Sus scrofa: one gene and its partners. Each later gene encodes a partner of the first gene's protein in a complex. Links are inferred from orthologs where the notes say so. Each region holds a gene or a part of one and is shown in the gene's direction. Other genes may lie near its edges. The genes, in order: SF3B5, SNW1, SNRNP200, SF3A3, SF3A2, DDX46 and PHF5A.

Region 1 (3,120 bases):
TATAACCAAGTTCACACTTAAGGGGGAAGTTTTTTTTTTTTTTTCCAATTTTTGGTACAGGCATTTGATCCCAGAGGGAACTGTTTTACCACTAAAATTTTTTAATAAAAATTATATATATTTAAGAGGTGCAACATGATTTGATATACATATACACAATAAAATGGTACCACAAACTAATTAACATATTCACCTCCTCACAATTTTTAGTATTGATACAGTATTAACTATAGTTAACTATAGAGCTCTAAACTTACTAGTCCTATCTAACCGTAACTTTATACCAGAATAAAGATACTTTAAAGTTATCTTTCTCCCAGTAAAGAATTTATTTGGCCGTCATACAGGTTTTTTTAATCCATTCATCAGATGTTTTTTGAGAAACAATCTCTGCGAGGCTCTGTGGCTAGCATAACAGAAGCATATGATACAAGACATCATCTCTTTTTCATTAATATTTTTAAAAATATTACTATTTGAATTTATTGAACTTCGCATTTTGGGGTTTTCTTTGTGGATTTCATGCTACAAATAGATCAAGTAGATAGATGTCTCACCCTCAAAAAAAAAAAAAGACATCATCAAAAAAGTAGTTTTTCTCAAGTAGTTTGTATTCGTGTGGGGAAGTTCTTAAACCAAAAACTGGATATAAAGTGATAATAACAAAGAGATGTACAGGATGAAAAGAATTTACATCTGTCTGGAGTAGCCAAAGTCAATTTCAGGGAGATACTTTCGAGCTGACTTAAAAGGGAGAAGTGTTTGCCAGGGGAACAAAAGCATTCCACGCAGATGGAACAGCTCGTACAGAGAACTGGAGAGAGCAGCACGGGAACGTTTGAGAAGTAGAGGCTGAGGGCCTGTAGGTGGGGTGAAACTTGTTGGGAGGATGTCAAAATTAGAAGCTCAAAAGGAGGAGCCTGTTGTGGGGGCCTGAATGTGTCGGAACTGGTGCTGTACTTAGGTCACTAGGCGGGAAACGGCGGCCCCGCAAGCGATGAAAGAAGTTTCCACACAACTTGTAAGAGACATGGCTGGGGTCAGACCTTGAGTTTCCTGACTTCAGGGTGATCCACCCCTGGTTGTGAAACGGCTACTGTACCCTCTGTAGCTCCGAAAGCGGAATTGCACAAAGAGCTCCTTTCCCCAGTTGCTTACAGCCTTGTACTACTTGTTTCCCACTTCCTCTCGGCCCCCCATCCGCCCGAGGATGCTTCCTGCCTCCCAAACACCGCAGTCCATTCAGTCTCTCAAACCCACACACAGAGGTCCCAAGAAGTCTCTGCGAACCAACCCTCGGAAACCACAAGTCCCAGCATGCAAAGCTCCTGTTAGAAAAGGGCCGCTAGATGGACCAGCATGCAACGCTCTGCGAAGGAGGCGGGGCTCTCTATAGGGAAGGCCCACTGGTAGCGTTGCCGAGGCAACTCCAATTCCGTGACAGAATACACTTCCGCCTGGGAGGCCGGGGACCGCGAGTCGCGCTGCTTTGTCGCTGTGACGCCATCCACCTGCGGCCGCGCGTGTACAGAGGTTCCGGCGGGTGGCTCCTCTCCGGCTTGAAACCTTAGAGCGGCTTCTTCTCGTCTGCGGCTTCTGACCTGCGAGCAAAGGAAAAAGCAACGAGATGACAGACCGCTACACCATCCACAGCCAGTTAGAGCATCTGCAGTCCAAATACATCGGCACCGGCCACGCCGACACCACCAAATGGGAGTGGCTGGTGAACCAGCACCGCGACTCCTATTGCTCCTACATGGGCCACTTCGACCTTCTCAACTACTTCGCCATTGCCGAGAATGAGAGCAAAGCGCGAGTCCGCTTCAACTTGATGGAGAAGATGCTGCAGCCTTGCGGCCCGCCCGCCGACAAACCGGAGGAGAACTGAGACCTCACCGTCTCACCGCTGTACGTGAGCACCTCTCTGCGTTCCTCCGGTTTGTCGTCATTCCCGCGGGTTCCTCTCCCAAGTGGACGGATTCTTCATAGCTCTGCTTTTCGTGCTTTCTTTGTACAGAGGTCCTTACCCGGGGCGTTCCGTCCGACCTGCCTTCCTGTGGAACAAAGTGTTGGGAGACCCGTCATAACCCCTGAGAAACTGAACAGTGGAGAGATCCTAAAGTCTGCAGACGTTAGAGGAGATATGGCTGGAGTGAGATGGGATTAAGAGGCTCGTTTTTGGCTAGTTGACTGTCTTCGTTGCTTTTTCTATAAAGTTTAGAAATGTTTCGGTCTCTTGGTGTGGACTACTTGTGTTCTGGTGGAGGGGCCAAGGAGGGCTCTGGGACTGTGGTTTGCCGGGTGGCGGGGGGTATAAAGAAGGGAAGGGTTGGGGAGGGGTTCAACAGTAGCACAGGGCCAAAGTTCGTTGCCAGACACTTAAATACGCTCTTTATAATATTCTCCAACCCTGACTTCTCCCAGGAACTTTTCTCAGGCCCTTAACACATTCACTATTGAGGTTTGTGATCACTGTGTCCTTTTTCTTTCATACAAAAAAAAAAAATCTTGACTCGCTTTGCCTTCTCTCTGTAGATTACACCTCTTTCTTTTGGAAATACGTGGACATATCTTGAGTATTGACAAACTGTCAAATTAGTTCTTAAATTCATTCAGCAAATACGTGTTGAATTTTATGTGGCAGGCTTTAAGGACCTATATTACACTGGTTGGGGGAGCAGAAGACCACAAAATTTGCAGACATAAGCAAGCACATGTTGGAGGGTGCTGTGGAGAATGAGAGTAGCAGTAGGGTTGCAGTTTTAAGTAGAATGCTCAGGAGTTCCCATCCTGGCTCAGCGGAAACAATCTGACTAGGATCCATGAGGATGCAGGTTTGGTCCCTGACCTCACTGAGTGGGTTAATGATCCGGCTTTGCTGTGAGCTGCAGTGTAGGTGGCAGATATGGCAGGGATCCTGTGTTGCTGTGGCACAGGCCAACAGCTACAGCTCTGATACAGTCCCTAGCCTGAGAACCTCCATATGCCACCGGTGTGGCCCTAAAAAAAAAAAAATCCATAAATAAGATGTTCATGTTAAACTATTGAGAAGGTAACATTTAAGCAGAGACTTTAAGGAAATGAGGGAAATACCATGCGGAAAACTGGGGAAATCGTTTC
Region 2 (4,724 bases), on another chromosome or scaffold:
AAAAAAAAAAAAAGTCATTGAAAAAAATTCAGAAACTATTATCATTAGGCATATCTTTAGTCATCATATTAGAAAAGTTTATTATGAAACCATTATATATATACATATATAACATAAGATAAAGCAAATGAGTAATTATCTTAACACATTAGGTACCAATACCATCATCTTCAGAAGAGATATGCATATAAAATCAAAGTTAGGTAAAATCTGTGTAATCCTAATCTTGCATTGGAACTATTAGTATGAATGCATGATGGAGTTTCTCAAAAAGTATGATTGGGAGTTCCCGTGGTGGCGCCGTGGTTAACGAATCCGACTAGGAACCATGAGGTTGCGGGTTCGGTCCCTGCCCTTGCTCAGTGGGTTAACGATCCAGCGTTGCCGTGAGCTGTGGTGTAGGTCGCAGACGCGGCTCGGATCCCACGTTGCTGTGGCTCTGGCGTAGACTGGTGGCTACGGCTCCGATTAGACTCCTAGCCTGGGAACCTCCATATGCCGCAAGAGCGGCCTCAAAAATGGCAAAAAAAAAAAAAAAGTATGTGGATATGTGAACTTTCTAGCTCTGTCCACTGAAAAGGTTTACAAACAGCAATTGCCCAGTAACAGTGAGCATTTGTAGCATCCAGGTCTTTTTCTCTAAATATCACTTTTCCACTTAAAGGAAAGCTCCTTGGAAAAATGACTGATTGAAAGTCTAGGGCAGAAAAAGTACTAAACTAGCCTAGAACGTCGTGTCACACCAGAAATCAAGAGTTGGAGGTGGAGTTGGAGGTGGTGTTGCTGCCTCTGCTCATACTACGGTGTTTGGTTTGTGAATATTCAAACTATACACTTCTGTAGGCAACGTTTCTGTATGTGTGCTATGCTACTATTAAAAGTTTGTTTCTATACCATGGAAAGTTTCCAACGTATAAAAAAGTAGAGAGAATTGTATAAGGAACACCATTTCCCCATTATCTAGCTTCAACAGTGATTAAAATTCATAGCTAACCTTGTTTCATTTACAGTATATTCCATCCACCTCCCTCTTCCCACTGTGAAGATTTCGTTTATCCTATCACTTCATCAAAGACTATGTTGAACCCACAAACTATGTAAAAGACAATCTAAGCCATACATACATAAAGACATACATACATAATACACCTAAGGAGTGTTCCAAAGATAATTACTAAGGATCACAAAATACCTCCCCTGGAGAGTGTTTTGGAGGTGGAGTGTTACGTAGGGAACCGCGTGTAAAAACTTTTGAGTATGAAAGTTTTCAGAGCGCCCAAGAACTCTCTATTCTCCAGTCTCACAATTTCCCAACCATTTGATTTAACCCAACTCTTATTTAACGTTCCCCCCCCCGCCCCCCGAAGGCTTTTGTATTTGGAACCATAACAAAAGAAATGAGACAGAGTGGGGAATAAAAAAAGACTTAAAAAACATCTCAAATTTGTTAGTATTTTGCCTAGGGAATGCTGTATCATGTCATAGTGTAAGAGTGATGCATTTGCGTTTTCTTAACTGAAGCGCTTATTCTGTAACTGGTTAGAAAAGAACCAAATTGTAATCTTGCGCAAAGAACTACAAATCCCAGAAGGCCCTTCGGCTAGGGCGCCTGCGCATCGCGCGCTCCTTCCTCTCCCCAACCCTTCGCGGGTAAAGACCCGCCCCGCGGTACTGTCGCTCGCGCTGGAAGAAGCGGAAGAAGATGGCGCTCACCAGGTGGGTTGTTGATTGGGGTCCTCGATACGGAAGGGTCTGGGAGTACCCTCCGTTTTTATTTCTCTGTTTATAGTCTCCGGGCGGTAGCCAGGCCCGGGCCACAGAGCGACTAGGCCAAGGCTAAGCCCTCCCTCCAGCCGCCGGGACGACTAGGCCTCTCCGAAGCTGGGGTCTTTCCCGAGTGGCTTCCCGGGTTGAGTTCGCCCCCTCACTAGGGCCGAAAGCCGCGGCATGGCGAATAGTTCTCTGGTCTGAGATGCTGAGGATTCGCACGTGTTTTTCGCTTAAGCATTTTGGGGTGGTGGAGATCGCTCCTTCGGGTCCGCGGCTCGGGTGGGCGCGATGGGGGTATGGAGGGCAGTGGCTTATTTGTCTGGGCGGAGTGAGGCGGGCAGGAGGCGACGGCCGGGCCGTTTGTTTGCCGAAGTCTTTTCTTTCTCTGTCCCGAAACAAGGATTCCTTGAAAAACGGGGCCCGACACTGAACGGAGACTTCACATCAGCCACAGTAGTGGCCGCTGTCTCCTAATTCGCGCCGCTGCTCCGCACTTTAACATCGGATCTTAGCATTTCTTCCATAGATAGAACTACTTCACATTTTTGCTGTTCCCAGTTGCCTTGGCAACCGCAAGTAAAGTGGTCCCCGCCCTTAAGAAAAAGATGCTTAAGGAGAAATATTCCTAGTTGTTACGTAACTCCTACTAGTCTGCGACCTTGTTGCCCCATCTAAGAAGAAAAACTTTTCTTACCAACAAACGCCGAAACAGAAAAAGTTGGGTGTCAAACAGGGTAAGGAAAGTAGTCGTGTTAGGAGATCCGCTTGGACTCCCTAAACACGCTTCATTCCCCTCATACACATTTTTCCTGGCTGATGACAGTTAAGAATCCTAAAGATATTCGAATTAGTTCTTTGGGGGATAACTTTCGGGTGCCTTGGTCTATCCTAGGGACTGTGTATATATAGAAGGAAATCTGACAGTCCTTGGCTGCAGGGAAGATGAAGTACAGGAATATAGATATTAAAGGACAACACAGAATGCTTATTGTGTTGTACTAACCTTAATTGCAAAAAAATAAGATGGAATGGGCTAGATGAACTGGAGAGTTTTCTTTAGTAAATAAAGGTTGCAGGCAGCAAATATTCGATTGAGTGCCCTCCAGATGGGAGGCAGTGTGACAAAGACTAGTAGAATTAGGAAGAAAGGCTTTGTGGAAAAAATGGAATTTGAAAATACCAGACATATTGTGGTTATTTTGTGCTTAAAATTGCAGTGACAGAGTTCAGTCTTTAAATAGTTTGTCTTAGGAACTTACATAGCTTTCTGGTTTTGTTGAGTTTTAGCTGACTTGATTTTTAGAGATGGTCTCAAGTTTTCAGGTAAAATATTATTATCTCTAAGATCTACCAGGGATTCTTAACAGCAGGGACTTGACATATTGATGTATTACAGTCTTGGTATCACAGTTGATTGTTACTAACTAAAGATCTAAAGTCATACTGATTTAACTTTCTGAACTCCTGTATTTAAGGTTATGTATCAAATAATTTCATTTGCATTTAATACAATTTCTTTAATAAAGGGGAAAAGATAGACTAAGGTGCCTGTACAGTGGCACTGTTGACATTTTGGACTGGATATTTCGTTCTTGTCTTGGGCATATTAAGATGTTTAGCAATATCTTTGGCCTCTACTCACTAGATATCAGTGGCACCTTCACTCCCTCTCTCCCCTTTACCCCCCAAATTCTAACAATCAGAATAGCTCCAGACCTTGTCAAGTATCTACATTGTAGATAAGTTGCCCCCTGTTGAGAAACACCGAAGTAGACTTTCTGTTTACATATGCAGCCCACTCCCACTATAGAAGTGTATTTCATTATGGGAATGTCATCCTTTATGGGGAACAAGGAGATTAAGACCTTCTGGAAGGCTACGGTGTGTTCTCACCATAATCCAGGTCAGGCTACCTGTTTACTGGATTGTCCAAACTCTGCTTTGGCAGGGTGCCTGCTTTTTGATCATTTTAGTAACTAGTTCTATCAACAGTGCGTTAAGGATCCCACATTGTCACTGCTGTGGCCTTGGTTGCTGCTATGGCTCGGGTTTGATCCCTGGCCTAGGAACTTTTGTATGCCGTGGGTGGGGCCAAAAAGAAAGAAGGGGAAGGAGGGGAGGAAGAAAAGAAAAGAGAAATGAAACAAATATTTTGGCTTCTTTGTTACTGTCTTTGTATCCCTCCCATGTATTGGGTACTGCATGGTTTACCAAAAAGCCCAGAATTTTGATTCCATTCATCCATCCATTTATTCATTCACTCAGTAAATATGCATGTGTTGAAAATCCACCATGTGCAAGGCTAGTGTTGGTTTTACAGCATTGAATCAGTCTTATCCTCACAGCTTACATTCTAGGGGAGACAGACTAGGAGTAAACAAATCAATGATGCAACTTCAGGTATTAAGTACTAAGAATAAAATACAGATAAAGGGATAGAGAGTGACTCAGTGTGGAGTGGAATGCTGTTTTGGTTAAGGTGGTCATTTAGCAGCTGCGAGGGAGGTATAGTGGAGCTGGGACATGAATACTAAGAAACAAGCACTAAAAAGTTTGGGAAAGCGTTTTCTTGATAAGTAAATAGAATTTTTTATGGCAGTGGAAAAGCAAATGTAAAGATCCTGAGACGACTTGTTTAAGGAAAGGCAGTAAGGTTGTAGTGACATAAAAATGGTGAGTGCAAAGGGTAGAGTGAATTTATTTCTCTTGCCAATATTTAAGTAGGCCCAACCATGAGCTAGCTAGATAATTCCTGGAGAGTTAGGGGTGGCAGAAACAGAAGATGTGGTTCCTGCCCTCAGGTTACCCAAAGTCTAGTGAGAGAAAGAGTAAATGAGTAGATAATTGTGGTACAGTAAGACAGATGTTATAATTGTGGTACACAGAGGGTCTTTTGAGACTATAGGGAGACAACCCAAACCAGGGGAATCATGGAACAGCTCCAAATAATCAAA
Region 3 (4,129 bases), on another chromosome or scaffold:
CTGCCTCTTTTATTCTCCATGTTACCCTTGTAACAGTCCTCTCGGCTGCATAGAATTTTGTAGCCTTTGGTTTTTGCTACTGCTGTTGACTCTTTGTATTGAGGGCTTTGTCCTCTGGTGGGTCCATCTTCCCTGTGTGACTTGGCGTACTCTGGTCCCCACTGTACAGATGGCCGGCTGGTGATGCCAGCTGGCACAGGCATATACACCCAGCTCGCCAGGTCCAGACCCCGCTTCCGTCTACTGTGCAACTAGTTTCTTCCATTTTGTATTAGCTGTGCCTGTCACTCAGGAGCCATCCTCTGTGGATTTGCCCTTGTCCTTTCTTTGGTGACCATATTGTCATTGACTCTTCTTTCCTATAGGATTTCTTCAAAAAGTTCTTATATGAGCCTTTGCCAGTAGAGTCTCACCTGGACCACTGTATGCATGACCACTTCAATGCAGAGATTGTCACCAAGACCATCGAGAACAAGCAGGACGCCGTGGACTACCTCACCTGGACCTTTCTGTACCGCCGCATGACACAGAACCCCAACTATTACAACCTGCAGGGTCAGCGGGCTTAGGAGCACATGTTATCCTTTTGCGGTTTCCACAGCCCTTGCTTGCCACCTCCCCATGACTCCCCGCTTACCTCTCACCTTCGCAGGCATCTCCCATCGTCACCTGTCTGACCACTTGTCAGAGCTTGTGGAACAGACCCTGAGTGACCTGGAGCAGTCCAAGTGCATCAGTATTGAGGACGAGATGGACGTGGCGCCTCTGAACCTGGGCATGATTGCTGCCTACTATTACATCAACTATACCACCATTGGTGCGGGGCCACCGGGGGCTGGTCTGAGGGGAACCTGAGCTTAGAGGGACCCTAGGCGGGGTCTGCAGCACAGAGGGATGAGTTATGACAGCCTTCCCGGGCCCTGTGTATTTGCCAGAGGAAAGCAATGCGGGCAGAGGTGGGGTAGCCCAGGCATTAACTCTCCTCCCTGCTCCTTTTCTGTCTGCGTTGACTCCTCCCACATCTCCTTCCCTGTTTCCCAGAGCTCTTCAGCATGTCCCTGAACGCCAAGACCAAGGTGCGAGGGCTTATTGAGATCATCTCCAATGCGGCTGAGTATGAGAACATTCCCATCCGACACCATGAAGACAACCTGCTTCGGCAGGTGAGGCTGTCATGGCTTCAGAACACCCTTGGAGTTGAAACTTGGCGGTGTGCCCACAGCACGTGATCCCCCGTCGCCACTGGCTCAGGCCTCACTTGCCTCCACACACGTCTCAGCCCCCAAGATGCACCCCTCCACCCGCCCCTGTGTTGTGAAGTATTGTGAGCCTGGGTCAGGTGGAGCTGTGGGCCCCAGAGCAGGGCCACCTCTTCATCACCGGCTCTTTTTCTTCCACATTCCAGTTGGCTCAGAAGGTCCCCCACAAGCTGAATAACCCCAAGTTCAACGACCCACACGTGAAGACCAACCTGCTTCTGCAGGCTCACCTGTCCCGCATGCAGCTGAGTGCTGAGCTGCAGTCGGATACAGAGGAAATCCTTAGCAAGGTATTGTTTGGGCACGGGGCTGGGCACAGGGGTGGCCCACGTGCCATCTGAAGCAGCAGTTTTGAACCACCCTCCCTTGCTCTCCTACCCGTGTTCAGGCCATCCGGCTCATCCAGGCCTGTGTGGATGTCCTCTCCAGCAACGGCTGGCTCAGCCCAGCCCTGGCAGCCATGGAGCTGGCCCAGATGGTCACGCAGGCCATGTGGTCCAAGGACTCATACCTGAAACAGCTGCCACACTTCACCTCAGAGCACATCAAACGCTGCACAGACAAGGTGAGCCGGGCCTGGGCCTGGAGTGTTGGTGGCCGAGCCTGAGTGTCCTGTGCTGGGGCGGGGGTAGTGGGAGGGGAGACTTTTTCTGAAGGTGTTACCCACGGAGATGCTAGAGAGCCTGATGGTTGTGGGCCGAGTCTTTAGGTGACCTGGTAGTGTAGGAAGTCAAATCAGCTGTTCTTTGGAGCCAGTTCCCTTTGCTGCTAGTCTGCATTCCCTCATCTTCCCTGACCTCTGAACGCCTACTGCAGGGGGTGGAGAGTGTCTTCGACATCATGGAGATGGAAGATGAGGAGCGCAACGCGTTGCTGCAACTGTCAGACAGCCAGATTGCAGACGTGGCCCGGTTCTGTAACCGCTACCCCAACATCGAGCTGTCCTACGAAGTGGTGGATAAGGACAGTATCCGCAGGTGAGCCAGAGAGGGCCAAGGCCCTCCCCCAGGGTCCCCACTGGGCACAGCTCTGATGCATACCTTGTGTTTGTCCCTGCAGTGGTGGGCCAGTTGTGGTGCTGGTGCAGCTGGAGCGAGAGGAAGAAGTCACAGGCCCTGTGATCGCACCTCTCTTCCCACAGGTACGGCTACTAGCTTTACCAGGGCTGCCCTGAGGCCCTACTAGCTGGCTAGAGTCTGGGCCAAGGGGTCCACAGTCACTGGAGTGATACCCAGGTATTTGGTATTTAGAGTAATACCCAAGTCATTTGGGTGAGGATTAATCTTGGGGCCATGGGTGATTGTGGTGGGAGTTTTTGCTTTAAAGCAATTTAGGTGACTGGTTCAAAGTCCCAGTTGTGCAGTGCCGTCGATATCCATGGCTATGAAGAATCATTTATCTTTACCTCTAAGTGGTCCAGGATAATTGGGCTTTTCTAGCTGGTGTTTCTTCTCCCCCCTTTCTCACTGCTACATACTGTTTCCAGTAGCTTGGCTCTTTACTGCCCAAAAGGAAATCTGACCCCTTACAGGGGAGAATGACTGATGGCTGAAAGCAGAAACTAGATACACTAATGTTTAATTTTATAAATGTGTTTAATAGGTTCTGAGGAAAGAGCACTTTAACTGGAATTCTTGGGCTTTCTGGCAGAGGAGCAGCCAGCAGAGAGGGATTCTTTATGGAGGCCAGGCCTGCTTTGGATCCTCTTCACTGGCAGGCTCATCTCCATGTTGCCATGTTTTCCTCTGACATACATGCTTTCACTTGAAAGGGTCTCTGAGGAAGTCCAGGTTGCCAGGCCCCACAGACTAGATGTCTAATCGTGGAATCTTGGATTTAGTGGCAAGCACTGAATGGGAGAAGGGACTTGGACCAGGAAAGGAGCCAGAACCAACAAATGAGTTCACCTACCTACCTAAAAGTTGATTTCTCTTGAGACACCTTTAGACAGTTTAAAATCTTAAATTAATTTTGGGAAGAAATTTTAGAAAGCTTTCTTTCTGGTTTTTGTTGTAACTTTCTTTTCTCCTGGTGTCATGGCCATCAAGTCTTTTTTTTTTTTTTTTTTTTTTTTGTCTCTTTGCTATTTCGTGGGCTGCTCTCGCGGCATATGGAGGTTCCCAGGCTGGGGGTCGAATCAGAGCCTACGCCAGAGCCACAGCAACGCAGGATCCGAGCCGCGTCTGCGACCTACACCACAGCTCACGGCAACACCGCATTGTCAACCCACTGAGCAAGGGCAGGGATCGAACCCGCAACCTCATGGTTCCTAGTCGGATTCGTTAACCACTGCGCCACGACAGGAACTCCCATCAAGTCTTAATACTCTGAAATTGTTGGCTTTTGGTCACTACAGAAACGTGAAGAGGGCTGGTGGGTGGTGATTGGAGATGCCAAGTCAAACAGCCTCATCTCCATCAAGAGGCTGACCCTGCAGCAGAAGGCCAAGGTGAGTGTGTCCACTGGCCCCAGCGCGTTCTGAGGTGGGCAGGGTGAGAACTCTTCCTCTGCATCGGAGCTCACCCTGAGCTCTACCTGCTCTCTCTAGGTGAAGCTTGACTTCGTGGCCCCGGCCACTGGTGCCCACAACTACACTCTGTACTTCATGAGTGACGCCTACATGGGGTGTGACCAGGAGTACAAATTCAGTGTGGATGTGAAAGAAGCTGAGACAGACAGTGACTCAGATTGAGTCCAGAGGCACCTGCTCTTGAACAGGAAGGGTTGAACCTGAATTAGGAACCTGCACCCCGTATGGGACCTCCATAGTGGCGACCCGGTCTGTGTGAAGTCTGGCCAGTCAGTGCTACAGTCCCGGCCCATCCACTACTTTCCTCTGGCTCCTTCAACAGCCAGACTTTGGATCCAGT
Region 4 (4,129 bases), on another chromosome or scaffold:
AAAAGAACGTGCCATTTAACTGCAGGGAGCATAACTAGCTGACATACTACAACTCCAGTGCTTTCAGATTCTCCCTAGGTTTAAGCTAAGGCCATTCTCTTCTTAGGCAGTCCCCAGCCAGAGACCGAGCACAGAGGCAGGTACCATGGCCTGGTTATTTCTGCCCAACGTGAGACTCTTCTAATGAGGAATATTTGCTCCAGAGCTCCCCATTGTGCTGAATCAGAGGGTAGCTGTCTGCATCATGGTCTAGGATCTCCCCGCCCAGTCCTGCTCTCCTTTTTGTCTTTCATGGGTAATAACCCCCAAAAAACTGCTTATGCTCTTAACTCTGTCTTGAAATCCGCTGCCCAGATGATCCAACTGGCACAAAGAGGCTTTTCTCATTCCAGTAATCATTACACCTTCACTATTCAGCCCAGAGGCCAACTCTTTCATGAAAATTCTTTCCTAGTCTACCCCATCCCTCAGTTAGTCTTTCCTTACTTTATGATCCTTTCATGTTTTGTGACAGTGAGTGTCTGCCACACTATATTGTAAAATCATGAAGAGCGGGGATTACATCTCAGTTATCAAGAACCCGTTAAGCATTTGCAGAGCTGACCAAAGCTTGGCTGTAGGAGAAGTGGAGAGGGATGAGTCTGTGATTACTCTGAGCTTTCATGACTCTAACAGAAATGTTGTTTGTTCCCTTTATGGAAATAAGGAAGAAGAAGGTAACCTATTTGCACTGGAGAATGAGTTTTTATATATATAGATTATCAGGTGTTACAACATCTAAGTAGAAGTGTGCCATAGGCAGTTGAAGTTGGGTGCCTGAGGCTTGAAAATTACATCACATGGACTTGATGGTTGTAGCCGCGAATCAGAGTTTTGGGAGGGGGAAACGATGTGAAGGGAGCCTGTCAGCTTCTGCGTGCTTTGGGGCACATTCAGAATAATGTATTTAGCAAAGGAGGAGCCTGAGAGGCCTTCCGTCATAGGTCACATGGCAGCTCCAGGTAACATCATACTCTTAGCAAACGAGTTTCAGAAAGGCAGTCACTGATATCAGCTGTTGTTGATTGGTAACCACCAGAGTCGTGCTCTGCTGAAGTAGTGAGAATGGAAATCTGGTCACGGGCGCAGGTGGATAATGGAGAAATAGTAGTGTGCCGTGTTTAACATGCATTTGAAAGATTGGCAGATAGGAGTTCCTGTCGTGGCTCAGTGGTTCACGAATCCGACTAGGAACCATGAGGTTTCGGGTTTGATCCCTGGCCTTGCTCAGTGGGTTAAGGATCCGGCGTTGCTATGGCTGTGGAGTAAGGCCAGCGGCTACAGCTCCGATTAGACCCCTAGCCTGGGAACCTCCATGTGCCTCGGGAGCGGCCCTAGAAAAGGCAAAAAGGAAAAAAAAAAAGAAGGAAAGATTGGCAGATAAAAGGAGAGGAGAAGCAGAAGGACCCTAAGGAAGATAGGGAAGGCATACGCATTTAAAAAGGTAGATGGAGAAATGAAGAGACCGAAAACATCAGGAGAGACTATTTATTGAACCTAAGTGGAAGATGAACGTACCCTCCTGTACTTACGTGTGTCTCCTCACCCCCTTTGGAGAGTAGCAGATCTTTTGCTAACCGGGAAGGAAGACAAGAGGACCATTCTGGTGTGTTAACCTTGTCCCAGCCCTGGTAGAAGGGTGACAGGGAATAAGTGGTTAAATAAATGATTGGAAGGATGCCTAAGATATACTAAGGGAAAGGAAGGTAAGTCCAATTATGTGAAAAACAATAATTTTGCCCTTGCCGGTATCTGCTTGCACTAATACTTATATTTGAATACATAGAGCAGTGGTTTCCAAATTTTGCTGCACATTTGAATCTGAGGGCTCTTTGAAAAGTACTGTTCCCTAACCCCCACCCTCTGATTTAATTGGTATTAAGTGCATCGGGATTTTTTTAGCACTTTCCTCGGTGATTCTAACATGCAGCAAAGTTGGAGAATGGCTGGCTTTTAAAATAAAGTCTGGTGGAGTTCCCGTCGTGGCGCAGTGGTTAACGAATCCGACTAGGAACCATGAGGTTGCGGGTTCGGTCCCTGCCCTTGCTCAGTGGGTTAACGATCCGGCGTTGCCATGAGCTGTGGTGTAGGTTGCAGACGCGGCTCGGATCCCACGTTGCTGTGGCTCTGGCGTAGGCCAGTGGCTACAGCTCCGATTCGACCCCTAGCCTGGGAACCTCCATATGCCGCGGGAGCGGCCCAAAGAAATAGCAAAAAGACAAAAAAAATAAATACATAAATAAAATAAAATAAAGTCTGTTAATGGTGGTTATCTTTTCTTAGGAAAATTATTAAAAAGGGGCTTTGATTTTTTTTTTTTTTCATTTGTTTTTGTATTTGAGCTTTTGTGAGCATGTGTTAAACTGTGCAAAAAGGAAGAAACAAGGTAATTAGAAACTAGAAATAAGCTCCTGATGAAAAAGCAAGGCCAAATAAAGCATCAGAAATCCATTTCTATACAGCCCATTTCTGTGATGGTGCAACTTTTTTTTTTTTTTTTTTTCTTGCTCTTTAGGGCCACACCCACAGCATATGGAAGTTCCCAGGCTAGGGGTCCAATTGGAGCTACAGCTGCCAGCCTACACCACAGCCACAGCATTGTGGGATCTGAGCCTCATCAGTGACTTGCACCACAGCTTATGGCAACGCCAGATCCCCGACTCACTGAGCGAGGCCGGGGATCCAACACAAATCCTCCATGGACAGTAGTCAGATTTGTTTCCACTGCACCACAACGGGAACTCTGATATTAAAACTTTTTTTTTTTTTTTTTTTTTTTTTGTCTTTTGTCTTTTAGAGCCGCACCCATGGCATATGGAGGTTCCCAGGCTAGGGGTCAAATCGGAGCTGTAGCCACCAGCCTATATCACAGCCGTAGCAACGCAGGATCCGAGCCACATCTGCGACCTACACCACAGCTCACGGCAACGCTGGATCCTTAATCCACTGAGCAAGGCCAGGGATCGAACCTGAAACCTCATGGTTCCTAGTTGGATTTGTTTCCACTGCGCCACAAGACAGCAACTCCTGATATTGAAACTTTTATGTTGAGTCATCTCTCTGAGCTTTTCTCTTTTTCGTGTCAGATCTGTGTGCCAATGTCAGTGGAATTTGAGGAGCTCCTGAAGGCTCGAGAGAATCCAAGTGAAGAGGCACAAAGTAAGCAGGGTTTAACATCTCCTCCCAGCACTAGCAGAAATACAGGTTAATGACAGAGCTCAAATTTGGCCTCAGAGCCCTAGAAAATAGCCCCAGAGAAACGTATAGCCAGGTTCCCTTAGCGATCTCTTTTCTGGTTTCTGGATTAGATTGTCATCCTAAATTGGCCTTGGACAAAATTTGCTAGCCCAGCTCAAATTCACTGACCTGGAAAGCCAAGATGTCCTCACTTTGTGAGCATGGGGAGGATATTTGGGTCAGGGGCTGCATTATGAACCAAGGAACTAGCAGTCCACTCGCTAGTGGAGATGTCACGTCCAAGAAAGTGGCCTTTAGTATGTGAATCATTGCTGTCTCTGATCCCTCCAGATTTGGTGGAGTTCACAGATGAAGAGGGATATGGTCGTTATCTCGATCTCCATGACTGTTACCTCAAATACATTAACTTGAAGGCCTCTGAGGTAAGACCCAGGAGAGGGGGAGAGTGGCTCTGATTTGAGGGGTGTGTCAGGACACTGGACGGGGGCTGCTAGACTTGAAACAGAGTGTCTTCCCTGAGTTTTGTAACTGTTACATAGATATTAAAGAGGTGGCATGTTTTCTTGGAGTGAAACCATTTTCAAAATGAAAGTTGGGTTTCTACAGTGAAGACAATTATATTCTACTTATAAATTTAATTTTATTAATATAACATTTTGCTTATGTAAAATAAAAAAATGTTTTTAACTCGCAAATACTCAAGCTCCTGTGTTAGGCACACAGAGTGGTAGGTACGTGAAAGATATGAAAATGTAATCTTCACCAGCAAGGGCTATTTAATGTCCTTTTTTTAAAGATATTAAAAAAATAACTCACCGTAAGAGATGAGTGAGGTTTTTTGTGGTTTTTTTTGTTTGTTTGTTTGGTTTTTTTTGTCTTTTTAGGGCCACAC
Region 5 (4,637 bases), on another chromosome or scaffold:
GGTACTTCCTCTCTGGGTCCTCTAGAAAGCCTGCAAAGGGAGCAGCCCCCTTCTGCCCCAACTTACTCCCACCTCTGCCCAACCCAGAACTGTCCTCTCCTCCAGCCCCAGCCTGGGCTCACTGCCTCCCACTAGCTGGCTTTGAGTTGAACTGTATCCCCCTCAAAATATATGTTCAAGTCTTAAAACGTTTAAGACGTTTTCTGGGACCGTGACTCTGTCTGGTTGTGGGGTCGCTGCGGTCCTAAGTAGCTAAGGTGAGGTCACACTGCAGAAGGGTGAGCCTCTAACCCACAGGTCTAGTGTTGTTATGGAAAGTGAAATCTGGACACAACCACCCTGAGAACAGTATCCTGTGAAAACGGAGACGAAGATGGGGTGACGCTTCTACAAGATAAGAAATGCCAAGGGTTGGAGTTTCTGTCACGACCCAGTGGAAAGGAATCCGACTAGGAACCATGAGGTTGTGGGTTCAATTCCTGGCCTCGCTCAGCAGGTTAAGGACCCGGCATTGCGGTGAATTGTGGTGTAGGTCACAGAGGCTTCTCAGATCTGTGGCGTAACCCAGCAGCTGTAGCTCCCATTCGATCCCTAGCCTGGGAACCTCCACATACCTGAGGTGCGGCCCTAAAAAGACAAAAAAAAAAAAAAAAAAAAAAAAACCAAAGCCAAAGACGCCCCAGAAGCTGAGAGAAGAGGCGTGAGACAGAGATGATTCTTCAGAAATACACAACTCTGCGCCCACTCTGATGTCAGACTTCTTGCCTCCCGCCCTCCTCGCTGCAAGCTCTGCCTGGGCCCCACGGGGAGGAGCCAGGGCGAGTGGGGCTGCTCGGGACAATGGACTTTGTCGGTAGAGATGCAAGAGGGGCCGGGGCGGGGCCGGGCAGCTTGGCCGCAGTTCGCACTCACTGATGGAGAAGCCGCTGGGCTCTTCCTGGGTGACTCTGCAGTGTTCCAGCAGCAGGGCTCCGACGGGCTGAGGGCAGATGGACGCGTAAGGGGCGGTGCGGGGAACCCTCCAGCCACCCAAGCCCGTCCCACGCCTCAGACCCCGGCCCCGCCCCCTGGCTCCGGTCCCCCCCCACGCCCTCGCCCCGACCCCCTACCCCCAACCCCGCCCTCCCCAGCGCCTAACCTCTGCCTCGTCCGTCCGGAAGTAGAAGAGGAAGTTGACCACCAGCTTCACCAGTCTCCGCTTCACCACTACGGGAACAAGGAAGGCTCGCGCGAGTTCGGTGGCTGCCCAGCCCCGCCTGCCGCCCGCTTGGGCGCCCCGGGCCGCTCACCGCTTCCTTTTTTCGGGCCCCTCATGCCCAGCTCAGCCGCCATCTCGGCCGGCTGCCGGGAGAGCGCCTGCAGCTCCTTCTCGTTAAAGCGCATGGCGCCGCCGGGACCCGGAACGCGGAACGAAAACCGCGCCTTACCGGCCGCCGTCCCCACTCGCGCCGTTGCCGGCGCCAAAAGAGTCCCACCGCACCGTTCCGGAAGCGCAGCCCGGGCAACTACGCCTGCGCGTTCTGCGGCCGCTCAGCCTGTCAATCACTGGTGCGTGTCAGTACAGTGCTGGGAGCCGCCTGGATAGAACGTGAACCCTCACGGGGCGCACGGGATAGTGAGCAAGGTGGACGGTTGCCATATACAACCATGCAATAAGGTGGCCCGCCACGACCCATGGCGCCCTTAACTGAAGCGACCTGGAGCATGCGAAGTGGAGGTGGGGCGAGACGCAACTCGCTATCCCGCGAGAGGTGGCCCCGCGAATTAGGCCCACCGAGAGAGGGTGGGGGCCGACGCGCACGCGCACTTCGGCTTCCGGCCCACACTCCCGGCTCGCCACTCACCTCCAGCATCCGGAACGTCTGCCCCGCGCCGCTAGGCGGGCTGGGCATGCGCACACGGAAGGCCCCGCCTCGCCTGCCCTCGGAAGTGCTTCCTTAGCCCTTGGCGCGCGTGCGCCTGTCGAAATTGTCGCGGCGGCTGTGGCGGCAGAATAGGCGGTTACGGTGGAGTCTGAATAGACTACGGCAGTGAGGCCGCGCAGGCGAGTCAGGAGCGGCGAGGGGCTAGGGCGGAGACCCCCGGGAGTTCCCTGGAGGGGAGAGGGCGAGGGGCGGTCGGCGGGGGCGCAGGCTGAGAGTGGGTGCCCGCTCCCCGCCCTCTCGGAGCTCGGGCCATAAATGCCGGTCCGGTAGGGCGGCAGCTCCCGAGGCGCTTTCCGTGTGCCCCGGCAGTCGCCCGTTGGTATGCTGGCCATGTGGTCTGGGAGTCACCTGGTTTCTGTAACGGGTGGGGGTGACGGCGAAACTCCTGGCACCGCACCCGAGGCCACCAGGGCCCGTTAGCCAGGCCCGTTTGGCAAGCGGTGCCACAAAGTTAAATGATTTCCCCACCTGTCACACTAGGTGCCCGATCGCTTCTTTTTTCTGTTCTTTTGTCAGCTCAGAACTACCAAGAGCAGCTTTGTAAATAACGTTATTCTTTTTGGCTGCGCCGGGTTTGAGGTTTCATTTCTATCTGCCACCCACCCTCTCCAACCTCGCCCTCCATATTCTGAATGTGGATATCGTGAGTTTTGTCAGATCGTGTTTTATTTTTTAGGGCTGAAAATAGTATTCGCTGTTCAGGCAAGCAATGTATTCAGCTGTATTGTTTTTCTTACGCTGTTTTTCCTATCGTCCTCCAAAGCTAATTAATTTCTTCTTTTCCTGTTAGCCTGATTTTCTTTGCCTGTTTTTTTTGTTTGTTTGTTTTGTTTTGCTTGTTTCTTTCTCAACGTGTCATTACTTCACACACTGATTAGTTGTGTTTTCCCACAGATTTAAACAAATGGATGGCTTTTTCTTTCTTTTTTTCTTTTTTTTTATGGCCGCACCTGCAGCACGTGGAAATTCCTGGGCCGGGGTCGAGTGGCAGCTGCAGCTGCAGCCTGTATGGCAGCTTGATGCAATGCCGGATCCTTAACCCATTGATTGAGGCCAGGGAGTGAACACAACCATCTTCACAGAGACAATGTTGGTCCTTAACACAATGGGAACTCCCACAGATGGATTTCTTTTTTCCTTTCTCCCATGGAAATTTCCCTCTTAAAGCTGGCCTAATCCTGCTTTTGGGACTGGAGCCCCCACTTTGCTTCTGAGTGGTTGTCCTAGAACCTTCTGTCCAGGTTACCCTGGTCTGGCTTTAGTTTTCAGTCTGACCATCTTTTTCGTTCCTTTTATCAGAGCATAAGGAGTAGTTTTTGAAGAGGTCAGCTCATTTATTTATTGTGAGTTCTCAGTTAACTGAAAATGGCTTTAATTTACCCCCACAGTCAGAAGTTTGGAAGTAGGAGTTCCCATCATGTCTCAGCTGAAACAAACCTGACTAGCATCCATGAGGATGCAGGTTCGATCCCTGGCCTCGCTCAGTGGGTTAAGTGTCTGGTGCTGTTGTGAGCTGTGGCATAGGTAGCAGATGTAGCTCAGATCTGGTGGTGCCCTGGCTGTGGTGTAGGCCAGCGGCCTCAGCTCCAATTCAACCCCTAGCCTGGGACCCTCCATATGCTGTAGGTTCGACCCTTAAAAAACAAAAATAAAAAAGTTGGGAGTAAAATTCTGGATTAAAAATCCACAGTAGGGAAGTCCCCATTGTGGCACAGAGGGTTAACCCGCCTAATATCTATGAAGTGGGTTAATGATCTAGCAATGCCGCTAGCTACTGCGTAGGTCAGAGATGCAGCTCAGATCCCCCTTTGCTGTGATGTAGGCTGGCAGCTGCAGTTCCACCTCGACTCCTTGGCCTCTGAACTTCCATATGCAGGTGCAGCCCCACCCCCCCCAAAAAAAGAAACCCTCAGTGGGAACTGTGGAATTATAGCATGTTTTCTACATTAAGTGCTGTTCTGAGGGATCTGATCCTGTCCTGATTTCTCATTTCAGTTCTCATTTTTTTCCTGTCTAGTAGAAATTTAAAGTTTTTTTTAGTGTTGTAAAATTTCGTGATCTTGAGAGTCTTTTTGTTTGTGTCTGTGTTAGGACCTTTTTTAACTTTGGAGTTCTTATGTCATTCCTTTGATAATATTCTCCACATTTGGTTCTGTTTTTGGTCCAGGGTTTCTTGCTTTGCCTCCTTTTGTTTTGTTGTTGGTTGTTTTTCATTTTTCTGTTTTGTGTGAAAGCTTTATTTGGCTGACCTTAGAGCACTTGTGTTCAATTTTTTGTTTGGATTATCATGTCTTTTCTTTTAAAGGGTCTGCGTGGTTTTGATTCACCAAACTCACTCTTGGCATGCTATTCAGGTTTCATGGTGCAGTAACATCTCCCATGATCTTGAAGAATATTATTCTCCTTCATTGAGGTTCCACTGGTTTTTGTTGTTGTTTTCTGATACTTGCAATTCCTTGAGTCTCTTTATATTGTTAGCAGTTCTGCATCAAGAGTAGTGCTTTTCGGGAGTTCCCGTCATGGCGCAGTGGTTAACGGATCCGACTAGGAACCATGAGGTTGTGGGTTCGATCCCTGCTCTTGCTCAGCAGGTTAACAATCCGGCGTTGCCATGAGCTGTGGTGTAGGTCGCAGACGCGGCTCGGATCTGCGTTGCTGTGGCTCTGGCGTAGGCTGGCAGCTACAGCTCTGATTAGACCCCTAACCTGGGAA
Region 6 (4,129 bases), on another chromosome or scaffold:
CGCTCCCGCGGCATATGGAGGTTCCCAGGCTAGGGGTTGAATCGGAGCTGTAGCCACCGGCCTACGCCAGAGCCACAGCAACGCGGGATCCGAGCCGCATCTGCAACCTACACCACAGCTCACGGCAACGCAGGATCCTTAACCCACTGAGCAAGGGCAGGGACCAAACCGGCAACCTCATGGTTTCTAGTTGGATTCGCTAACCGCTGCGCCACGACGGGAACTCCAGCAAAATTCTTATTGTCTATTTTATATATAGTAATGTGTATCTCTTGGTAACCATAAATGTGTTTTCTTTATTGGGCCTGTTTCTTTCCATTTTTTTGGCTATGCTCATGGCTTATGGAAGTTCCTGGGGCAGGGACTGAACTGGTGCTGCAGTTGCACCTGTGTGACAGCTGCAGCAACACTGGATCCTTCACCTGGGATCTTCCAGGGCAGATCTTCCACAAGGAAGAGAACTTCCAGGGTCTTTTTCTGTTTTGTAAATAAATTCACTTATATTATTATTTAGATTCCATATATAAGTGGTATCATATAATATTTATCTTTGGCTGATTTCATTTAGTACAATATTCTCTAGTTTCATCTGTGTTGCTGCAAATGTTTATGCTCACTTGATGGGGTAACCCTTTTCTATCATCAGCTCATCCCAGACTTAGAATAGGGAGAGAAGAAATGATGTGATAGAATGAATTAGATTTTTTTCTATTAACATGCATTGTAAAGATTTATATAGAGAGAACTTAGCAAAACTTCCTTAAAGCCATGTTAGAATTTTTTTTTTTTTTTTTTTTTTTTTTTTTGCCTTTTTGCTATTTCTTTGGGCCGCTCCCACGGCATATGGAGGTTCCCAGGCTAGGGGTCGAATTGGAGCTGCAGCCACCGGCCTACGCCAGAGCCACAGCAACGCGGGATCCGAGCCGCATCTGCAACCTACACCACAGCTCACGGCAACGCTGGATCGTTAACCCACTGAGCAAGGGCAGGGACCGAACCCGCAACCTCATGGTTCCTAGTCGGATTCGTTAACCACTGCACCAGGATGGGAACTCCTAGAATTATTTTTTTTAATTTAAGCTTTTAGTTTTATATTGTTACTGTTTGTAACTTTTTTTTTTTTTTTTTTTTTAGTTCTGCACCTGTGGCATATGAACGTTCCCAGGCTAGGGGTCGAATTGGAGCTACAGCTGCTGGCCTACAGTATAGCCACAGCAACGCTAGATTCAAGCTGCATCTGAGACCCATACCGTATAGCTCACAGCAGTGCCGGATCCTTAACCCACTGAGCAGGGCCAGGGATCGAACCCAAATCCTCATGGATACTATTTGGGTTTGTTACCACTAAGCCACAACAGGAACTACCTTGTTGTTATAACTTTCTGTGAGGCAAAGAAAAAATTAAACTAATTCAGAAAATAAAGCCAAAAAATCTTTTTCAGGAGAGAATGGTTTTAAAAGCTAGTAGGGGAAGGGTTCTTTTGTGGCCTAGCAGGTTAAGGATCTGGCATTTTCATTGCTATGGGTCAGGTCAGGTCACTGCTGTGGCTTGGGTTTGATCCCTGGCCCAGGAACTTCTGTATGCCATGGCTTCGGCCAAAAATAAGAATAAAAATAAAAGCTAGGGGTATTTAATCCCATAAGGGGAAAGTAGTAATGGATTTAGCTCATAATTTTTCTCTTTAATTACAGTATTCTTCAGAGGAGGAGGAAGTTGATCTTCAGACGGCCCTGACAGGTTATCAGACAAAGCAGAGAAAGCTTCTAGAACCAGTCGATCATGGAAAAATTGAATATGAACCATTCAGAAAAAATTTTTATGTTGAAGTTCCAGAACTGGCAAAAATGTCTCAAGAGGGTAACGTTTTTATTCGTTTATTGGTTATTGTGGGAACAGAGGAGAACACACTTTACCTTACCTGGGAGCCATGTCAATAGGCCTCTGAGTTGATGCAGGAGGAATTTGCCTGGCTTACCTGAAGAACTAAGCAACTAGAGAGGGAACTAGAAGGTAAGAAGTCATTCTAGAGAGTGGGACAACATCCGCAAAGATGTGCAGCAGTGAGAAATTAGTGTGTTTTGGAAACATTAAAAAAAGGAGCAAAAATTAGTTTGGCTCATGTGGTTTAAATGTTTGTGGTTGAAAATACTCATCCTGTGCAGTTAACAAATAGGATATTGTTAGCCTTGTCTGAGGTTTGAGTTAGGAACCAATGTCAATGTTGTGATACCGAAAGAATAAAGATAATTTGGGCAAGTCTTGCTTGAAGAACTGTCGTTGTATAACTTGCCAATCATTGTTCTTTTATTGTTGGTACAATTTAAGTCAAAAGAGAAGCCAAATTGCAGAAACGGGGCTGTTTTTTACCTCTAGTCGGTTGCTACTCGAATCACTTTGAGCTGTTTAACACTTTGTCATATCGCCTTTCTGTGGAATTACCTTTGGGAGCCCTAAGAAAAAGTCAAAGAGTCTTAATCTTACCATGCCTAATGGAAAAGTAGAAAGCACTCATATAGACCAATATTGAAGAGTTTTTAATCTGGATTTTGTTTTGCAGAGGTGAATGTATTTCGGTTGGAAATGGAAGGCATTACTGTCAAAGGAAAAGGTTGCCCCAAACCAATTAAATCTTGGGTTCAGTGTGGGATTTCCATGAAAATCTTAAATTCTCTCAAAAAGTAAGTGTTTAGTGGTTGTCCACATTGTTCATTATCTTGCTACTCAAAATAGCCCTTTGCACAAATAATTCCTTTGCTTACATTTTTATTGTGATGGAAACACTTGATTATTTTTCTTAAAGAGCTTTAAGTGAGATATAATATACATACCATAAAGTTTACCCTTTAAAGCTTACAATTTGATAATTTTTAGTGTATTTGTGGGATTGTGTAGCCATTACCATAATCTAATTCTAGAACATTTTCATTGTCCCAAGAGAAGACCGGTATCCATTCATTGTCATTTTTTCTCTCTTCTCCACATTAGGCAGCCACTGTTGTACTGTTTCTAAAGATTTATCTATTCTGAACATTTCGTATGGATGAGATAATAATGTAGTCTCGTGACTGGCTTTTTCACTTAGCGAAGCAATTTATTTATGATATAAAATGTCTCAGTACTTCATTCCTTTTTGCCAAAGAAAGTTTTACCGTATGGTTATACATTTTGGAAAACCTTTACACTTTGAGAGGCCCAGAGATCACAGTTCTTACTTTGTCTTCCTTTGGTTTGCTTTTTAAGGCATGGTTATGAAAAGCCCACGCCAATCCAGACCCAGGCGATTCCTGCTATAATGTCTGGACGAGATTTGATTGGTATTGCCAAGACAGGAAGTGGAAAGACCATTGCCTTTCTGTTGCCCATGTTTAGACACATCATGGATCAGAGGTCTTTAGAAGAAGGCGAGGGACCAATAGGTACAATTCCTTTCATTAAACTTTCTTTGCAGGTAACAACTTTGTTGTCAGTTAATCAGAGAGACGTGATGCTTTGTAATGTTAATTATAACAATAAAGATGTCTTATGTACATTTCCTTTACAAATTTGGCACTTTGGGGCTGATTTCCCCTTACCAGCAGGTGGAGTGAGAATCTTCAGAGCTCTGGCGTGACATCTCAGACGTACAAAAACAGCCTCTCCTGGCACAGCTCAGTTTTTAAACTCTGACCTGGCAGGTAGACTCCTCGTGCATCTATCTGTTTATTTATGTTGAGGTTTGTTCTTAGCCCATATCAGTGGATCTATAAACTCAACATAAGACTGTAGGGAAGTGTATTTCTTTTTTTCTTCTTCTTCTTCTTTTTTTTTTTTTATTTTTATTTGCCTTAAAAGGCTGTAGTGCCAGCATTTCATTCAGGAGTAGGTCTTCAGATTCCGTTTTCTTGATTCACTTGGCAGAGATCTCTTCTCCAAAATTTGAGTAGGGTTTCGGAAAGTTGTTCAACTCCTCTCTTGGCAGCAGAGGGCACAGTACATTTCTCCTCTGCCTGTGCCCCTCAGACCAAGGCTGTTTCCGGAAGCCACGGCATAGTTCTGCAGCACAGTGAGTTACTTGATTGCCTTTGCTCTGTGATTTGCCGTAGAGAATGATTTGCATTCTTGTCAACCAAGTATTTTCCTGGTGGTCGA
Region 7 (4,741 bases), on another chromosome or scaffold:
CTTCCACATTGTTAACTTGGAGAAACAAAAAAATCTAAGAGAAAATTTGGACAAATCCTTGTCTTTGCCCAGAATTGAGAGACCCTAAGTATTTTAAGATAAATGATTTCCCTTTAAACCATATGGTTTAAATTTTAGCAATGTAACTTTAAAAAAAAAAAAAAAAACTTCTGACAACACAATACTTTCTGAGAGTACAGTACACTACTTCTTTTTAAATTCTGCAATAATAGTTGTGCTACTTGATCCAATGTAGATTCACAAATTTAAATGTAAAAGGTTGTCGGAGAATGCTTGCTTGATTTTTTATTAACGAAATACGTTCTTGACATTGAACCTTTGAGTGTAACATCTTCCTAGGGTTGTCAAGTCAGGAGTGAAAAAAAAAGAAATGGCAGTCAGTCAATCTTCTAGATGGTTCAAAAGAGGACAGTCAAGGTCAAACTGTTGAGTCTCTTTTACCCTCCCCATCTAGTAACTGAAAAGCAACTGATTGTGAGCTCAAAATACGCCATTCTGGAACTCCCACAAATACAAATGTCAGCTCCAGGACCACACTCTGGCTCAAAAAGTTCTGTGAGGGCAGGCTGAAAGGGACAAGGAGAATGGGGAGTAGTAGGGCAGATGCTCAGGCCACAGCACTTTGGTAAGACTCAGAGAGCAGAACTTTTACCTGTTTTCTAACAGCGTCATCACCTATCAAATAAAAATAATCATCTCCAGAAATGATGATATGAATCAAACGATGTGGTGAGGAATTAAGTCTTGCAATCTTGTGCAAAGCTGAGAGACTACTGTCATCATTACTATTTGCTACATCTGGGCACGGAACCCACCCCCTCGAATTCTTGGGTACATGTTCCGCAGGATCCCCACAAGATGGAATAGGTCATAGTTTTTTTTTTTTCCCCCCCTACAGACTCCATGTTTGGCAACCGTAGATGCACCTGGCTAGCAACTCTGTGCTACTGAGATGAAAAGTGAGGCCTTCAGGCTCTGGGCCTAGCGCGCTTACCAACCACCGCGCCCCCCAGTCACCTTGTCCTCACCTTGAGGAACGGGGGAGGAAAAAAAAAAAAAAAAAAAAAAGCCTTACGGGGGAAGAAACTGCGGTCCTCAAAAATGAGAAAGACGTGCCTCCACTCTTCACCCGGCCGCCGCTTCTTAGGCCCTTGCTTCCAGCGGGGCGGGGACAGGGCTGAGAGCTGACTGAGCCGGGGACGCCCTGACCTCGGGCGCCAGAGGAGCGGGTATTTGCGCTGGGCCCGCGCAAGGGACAGGTACGCGAAAAGTCGGCCGGAGGTCAGGCCCGCCTCGCCTTGCCTTGCCCATAGCCGCAAGCGCAAAAGAGGTACCCCGCCCCCGTAAACCTAGAGGGCTCTCGGTTCGCTCACCTGCAGCCGGGTCACCAGTAGGCTGTAAGGCGCCATTTTGTGCACTGACAAAGATGAGGTCGCTTGAAAGTGACGTGACACGCGGCTTATTTAAGGCCTTCGGTGAGGGGCGTGACCTGAGGAGAAACGCGTCACGCTGAAGGCGTTCCCGCGAGCGACGTGGGCGGAGCTCCAGAGTCAACCTGGGAATTGGGAGAGAGCTGCCTAAAAAGTTGGGGTAGTAAATACCCGGCACAAAGATATCAAAGTGCAAATTTCGTCTTTGCGCTCTGCAACTTGTCCCTCCCATTCAAATCTGGGAAAGTTTTTTTTTTTTTTTTTCCCTAAATGACCCGCACACCCCTACCAAGACCTGACTCCCCCACTGCCAACGGGAATTCGTCTTCGGAATTTAAGTGCTTTGATCACGCGAGAATGAGCGGGGCTTGGTGCAAAGATTGCAAACGCTGATGGACGCCTAGAGAACCAATCAGGGCGACGAGGAGGCAGGAACAATCAGGGTTAAAGGTCTGGCGGAAGCTCCCTAAGCTTCCGGTGGTTTGAGCGCGAGCGATGGCTAAGCATCACCCGGACTTGATTTTTTGCCGCAAGCAGGCTGGTGTTGGTGAGACGGTCTTCTGCCCCCGGCTGTTTGGGTGGGGATGGTATTAGGACCTTAAGAGTCCGGGGTTCCCATTACTCCTTTAGGGTGTTGCTTCGGAGGCGCCCCGTTTCCCGCCTCGCCGCCGGTAGTGTAGGAGCGCGTGGGTTTGTGGGCTCAGATGAAAGGGGGGCGGGGGCGCGCGTGCTGAGAGCTGGAGAGGGGCTGCGGAGATAGAGAAATTCTCAGTTTTCCCAGGACCTGGGAGGTCTTACGAGGGTGCGGATTTGGTTCGGATTGAAGTTTATGAGAATACGATGGTTAAGACCTCTCAGGGCTCACTGCAGACCCTGTACCTGTCCCCAACTCAAGCTCGAGGCTTTTGTCCCCTCTTCTAAACCTTAATCCTAATTGTACTCTTTATCACCTTTGATCTTGCAGCCATTGGAAGACTGTGTGAAAAATGTGAGTGGAACACGCTTCTCCAAACAGCCCACCCCTCCCACTCAGCTTCTATAGTGGCAGCAACGGACATTTTCAGCGGTGCCACGAAGAGGGCTTTGGATAGACATGATTGGAAGCATGTTAATACAAAGCCAGACTGCAACTAAAGGCCACCTTCCCGCTCCAACTTGTACATTTTAGGCACTGTATTTAGGTTTTGACAAAACCTCTAGCTTTGGACCAGAAGTAGCATGACCCTGCCCCCAACACACACAGCATTCTGCCAGTCAATTATATAGACTTATCTACCGACTGCTATTCTAAGCCCTTTATATTAATTGATTAGCTTTCCTATGTGTTGGGGAGATTGAGAAATGGACGCTAGGTAAACCAATTTTATAATGCCAAAATAGAGGGCTAAAGTCACTGTCAGAAGGACATAGTGTTTTTACCCATAGCAGGAAGAGGACCTGAGGTACTTGCAAGTGGGCGTAATTCAACCTCTTTTCCTTACAGGTGATGGCAAGTGTGTGATCTGTGACTCCTACGTGCGTCCCTGCACCCTGGTGCGCATATGTGACGAGTGTAACTATGGCTCTTACCAGGGGCGCTGTGTGATCTGCGGAGGCCCGGGAGTTTCAGATGCCTATTATTGTAAGGAGTGCACCATCCAGGAGAAGGATGTGAGTGTATACTAAGCTTTTCCTCTGATCTTTCCTTTCGTTTAGGAACACTTGGCCATCCACAGCAGACTCCTATGGTCAGGAGATGGCTGTTCAGCCAGTCACCTAGGTTATAATTTTCAAGTTCTGTAAACCAAACTGGGTGTACTCCAACAAAAGGTAGTTATTTTGCATCAAGTACACAAAGGCGAGAAAAGCAAATTTTTGTCAACACTGGCAATTTGATGTCTTTCTCTCTCTCTTTTTTTTTTTTTTTGGCTGTGTCCACATGTGGACGCTCCCAGGCCAGGGATGAACCATGCTGCTGTTGTGGCCTGTGCCACAGCTACGGCAATGCCAGATCCTTAACCTACTGCACCACAAAGGAACTTTCTCTCTCTTTTTTTTTTTCCCCCCAGAAACTATGCTGCATTTTTAAATCATACCACAGTGCATGATGTGCAGAAGTCACTAATTTGTGCTACCATTAAGGAACGTTAGGGTGGATGTGATGACTTTTGAATTTGGGACAGTTCAAGTTCATTTCAGCTCTGAGTGGCTAGAGAGTGCCTTTGGTTGATTTTGCAGAATTGATTGTAATTCTTGCTCATGGCATTTTTGCCCCTTGACATTTTTTTGGTGCCAGTGGCTTTTTTTTTTTTTTTTTTTTGCTATTTCTTTGTGCCGCTCCCGTGGCATATGGAAGTTCCCAGGCTAGGGGTCAAATCGGAGCTGTAGCCACTGGCCTACGCCAGAGCCACAGCAACGCAGGATCCGAGCCGCCTCTGCAACCTACACCACAGCTCGTGGCAACGCCGGATCCTTAACCCACTGAGCAAGGGCAGGGATCGAACCCGCATCCTCATGGTTCCTAGTCAGATTCGTTAACCACTGCACCACGACGGGAACTCCGGTGCCAGTGGCTATTTATTCAACTCTTTGAGCCAGGATAGAGGGCTTGTAGATCTATTCCAAAAGCAGGCTTGGGGTAGGGGAGGTTAATCAGCTTTTATTCATATGACACAATAAATAAAAGGAAATGTGATATAGTACCAGTAGACTATTTATTATAAGGTATCTGGTTACCTAATCTAGGATAAGGCATGAGATAAAATATTTCTTAATTTTTCCTTGTGCAAAGAATAGGTAGTTTCTATGTGGGTATTATCTTCCATATTCTTCACAGTAACTTTGTTAAATAGGGATTATTACTATCCCCCTTTTACAGTCTGTCCTGCAGCTAATAAGGGGCAAGCCCCGGCTGTCTGTCTAAACCTGGTGATAGCTGCAATACACCTTATGGTCCTTTTGGTGGGATGTGCCTGGTTGACGAGAAGCAACTCAGCAATCTTTACATTTGGATCCTGTCTACCTTTAATAAGTGGGACATGTCACACCAAATAAAACTTTTTTTTTACACCATTAAGTCTTCTCTTATTTAGGGAGATGAGAAAGATCATAAAGTACCAAAGACAAATTTTCCCTTGGTGATGTGAACATTCTCCTGTCCTAAACTCTGATTTGTGTTTACTTTTGATTGTCATATCATACCTGTTTGATCTGATCCACCAGGTAGATTACACTCCCTTTACAGAAAGAAGCTTGGTTTTTGTGTTTGTCTCCCCTTTTCCTCAGTTCAAAGTATAATCCCTGCGTGTATT

What was found.
Region 2: SF3B5 (region 1) and SNW1 share a complex: the UniProt entries of both Homo sapiens proteins name them as parts of the minor spliceosome. The link is inferred for Sus scrofa from reciprocal best matches to the Homo sapiens genes SF3B5 and SNW1.
Region 3: SF3B5 (region 1) and SNRNP200 share a complex: the UniProt entries of both Homo sapiens proteins name them as parts of the minor spliceosome. The link is inferred for Sus scrofa from reciprocal best matches to the Homo sapiens genes SF3B5 and SNRNP200.
Region 4: SF3B5 (region 1) and SF3A3 share a complex: the UniProt entries of both Homo sapiens proteins name them as parts of the 17S U2 SnRNP complex. The link is inferred for Sus scrofa from reciprocal best matches to the Homo sapiens genes SF3B5 and SF3A3.
Region 5: SF3B5 (region 1) and SF3A2 share a complex: the UniProt entries of both Homo sapiens proteins name them as parts of the 17S U2 SnRNP complex. The link is inferred for Sus scrofa from reciprocal best matches to the Homo sapiens genes SF3B5 and SF3A2.
Region 6: SF3B5 (region 1) and DDX46 share a complex: the UniProt entries of both Homo sapiens proteins name them as parts of the 17S U2 SnRNP complex. The link is inferred for Sus scrofa from reciprocal best matches to the Homo sapiens genes SF3B5 and DDX46.
Region 7: the proteins of SF3B5 (region 1) and PHF5A are in contact, whole or in part, in a cryo-EM structure (PDB 7EVN), measured with the Homo sapiens proteins. The link is inferred for Sus scrofa from reciprocal best matches to the Homo sapiens genes SF3B5 and PHF5A. Residues at the interface, in NP_112577.1 of Homo sapiens: Arg4, Tyr5, Thr6, Ile7, Gln10, Leu14; in NP_116147.1 of Homo sapiens: Pro6, Asp7, Leu8, Ile9, Phe10, Cys11, Arg12, Ile88, Leu91.

Annotation. Positions count from the first base shown.
Region 1 is NC_010443.5:21,229,781-21,232,900, forward strand, and holds SF3B5 (splicing factor 3B subunit 5), read left to right. Parts: upstream 1-1,483; 5' UTR 1,484-1,627; coding exon 1,628-1,888; 3' UTR 1,889-1,908; intron 1,909-2,017; 3' UTR 2,018-2,234; downstream 2,235-3,120. UniProt on the Homo sapiens protein: Component of the 17S U2 SnRNP complex of the spliceosome, a large ribonucleoprotein complex that removes introns from transcribed pre-mRNAs.
Region 2 is NC_010449.5:100,746,303-100,751,026, reverse strand, and holds the start of SNW1 (SNW domain-containing protein 1), read left to right. Parts: upstream 1-1,612; 5' UTR 1,613-1,702; coding exon 1,703-1,716; intron 1,717-4,724. UniProt on the Homo sapiens protein: Involved in pre-mRNA splicing as component of the spliceosome. As a component of the minor spliceosome, involved in the splicing of U12-type introns in pre-mRNAs.
Region 3 is NC_010445.4:46,956,149-46,960,277, forward strand, and holds part of SNRNP200 (U5 small nuclear ribonucleoprotein 200 kDa helicase), read left to right. Parts: intron 1-365; coding exon 366-555; intron 556-652; coding exon 653-817; intron 818-1,041; coding exon 1,042-1,163; intron 1,164-1,405; coding exon 1,406-1,549; intron 1,550-1,647; coding exon 1,648-1,824; intron 1,825-2,075; coding exon 2,076-2,236; intron 2,237-2,318; coding exon 2,319-2,400; intron 2,401-3,615; coding exon 3,616-3,708; intron 3,709-3,807; coding exon 3,808-3,951; 3' UTR 3,952-4,129. UniProt on the Homo sapiens protein: Catalyzes the ATP-dependent unwinding of U4/U6 RNA duplices, an essential step in the assembly of a catalytically active spliceosome. Plays a role in pre-mRNA splicing as a core component of precatalytic, catalytic and postcatalytic spliceosomal complexes.
Region 4 is NC_010448.4:93,969,387-93,973,515, reverse strand, and holds part of SF3A3 (splicing factor 3A subunit 3), read left to right. Parts: intron 1-3,125; coding exon 3,126-3,198; intron 3,199-3,567; coding exon 3,568-3,659; intron 3,660-4,129. UniProt on the Homo sapiens protein: Component of the 17S U2 SnRNP complex of the spliceosome, a large ribonucleoprotein complex that removes introns from transcribed pre-mRNAs.
Region 5 is NC_010444.4:76,403,325-76,407,961, forward strand, and holds the start of SF3A2 (splicing factor 3A subunit 2), read left to right. Parts: upstream 1-1,557; 5' UTR 1,558-2,044; intron 2,045-4,637. Other genes in the region: PLEKHJ1 (pleckstrin homology domain-containing family J member 1), read right to left, coding at 1-30, 913-979, 1,139-1,206, 1,290-1,383. UniProt on the Homo sapiens protein: Component of the 17S U2 SnRNP complex of the spliceosome, a large ribonucleoprotein complex that removes introns from transcribed pre-mRNAs.
Region 6 is NC_010444.4:136,989,015-136,993,143, forward strand, and holds part of DDX46 (probable ATP-dependent RNA helicase DDX46), read left to right. Parts: intron 1-1,692; coding exon 1,693-1,858; intron 1,859-2,558; coding exon 2,559-2,679; intron 2,680-3,241; coding exon 3,242-3,417; intron 3,418-4,129. UniProt on the Homo sapiens protein: Component of the 17S U2 SnRNP complex of the spliceosome, a large ribonucleoprotein complex that removes introns from transcribed pre-mRNAs.
Region 7 is NC_010447.5:7,069,565-7,074,305, forward strand, and holds the start of PHF5A (PHD finger-like domain-containing protein 5A), read left to right. Parts: upstream 1-1,580; 5' UTR 1,581-1,946; coding exon 1,947-1,998; intron 1,999-2,415; coding exon 2,416-2,439; intron 2,440-2,934; coding exon 2,935-3,101; intron 3,102-4,308; coding exon of another isoform or gene 4,309-4,353; exon of another isoform or gene 4,354-4,506; intron 4,507-4,741.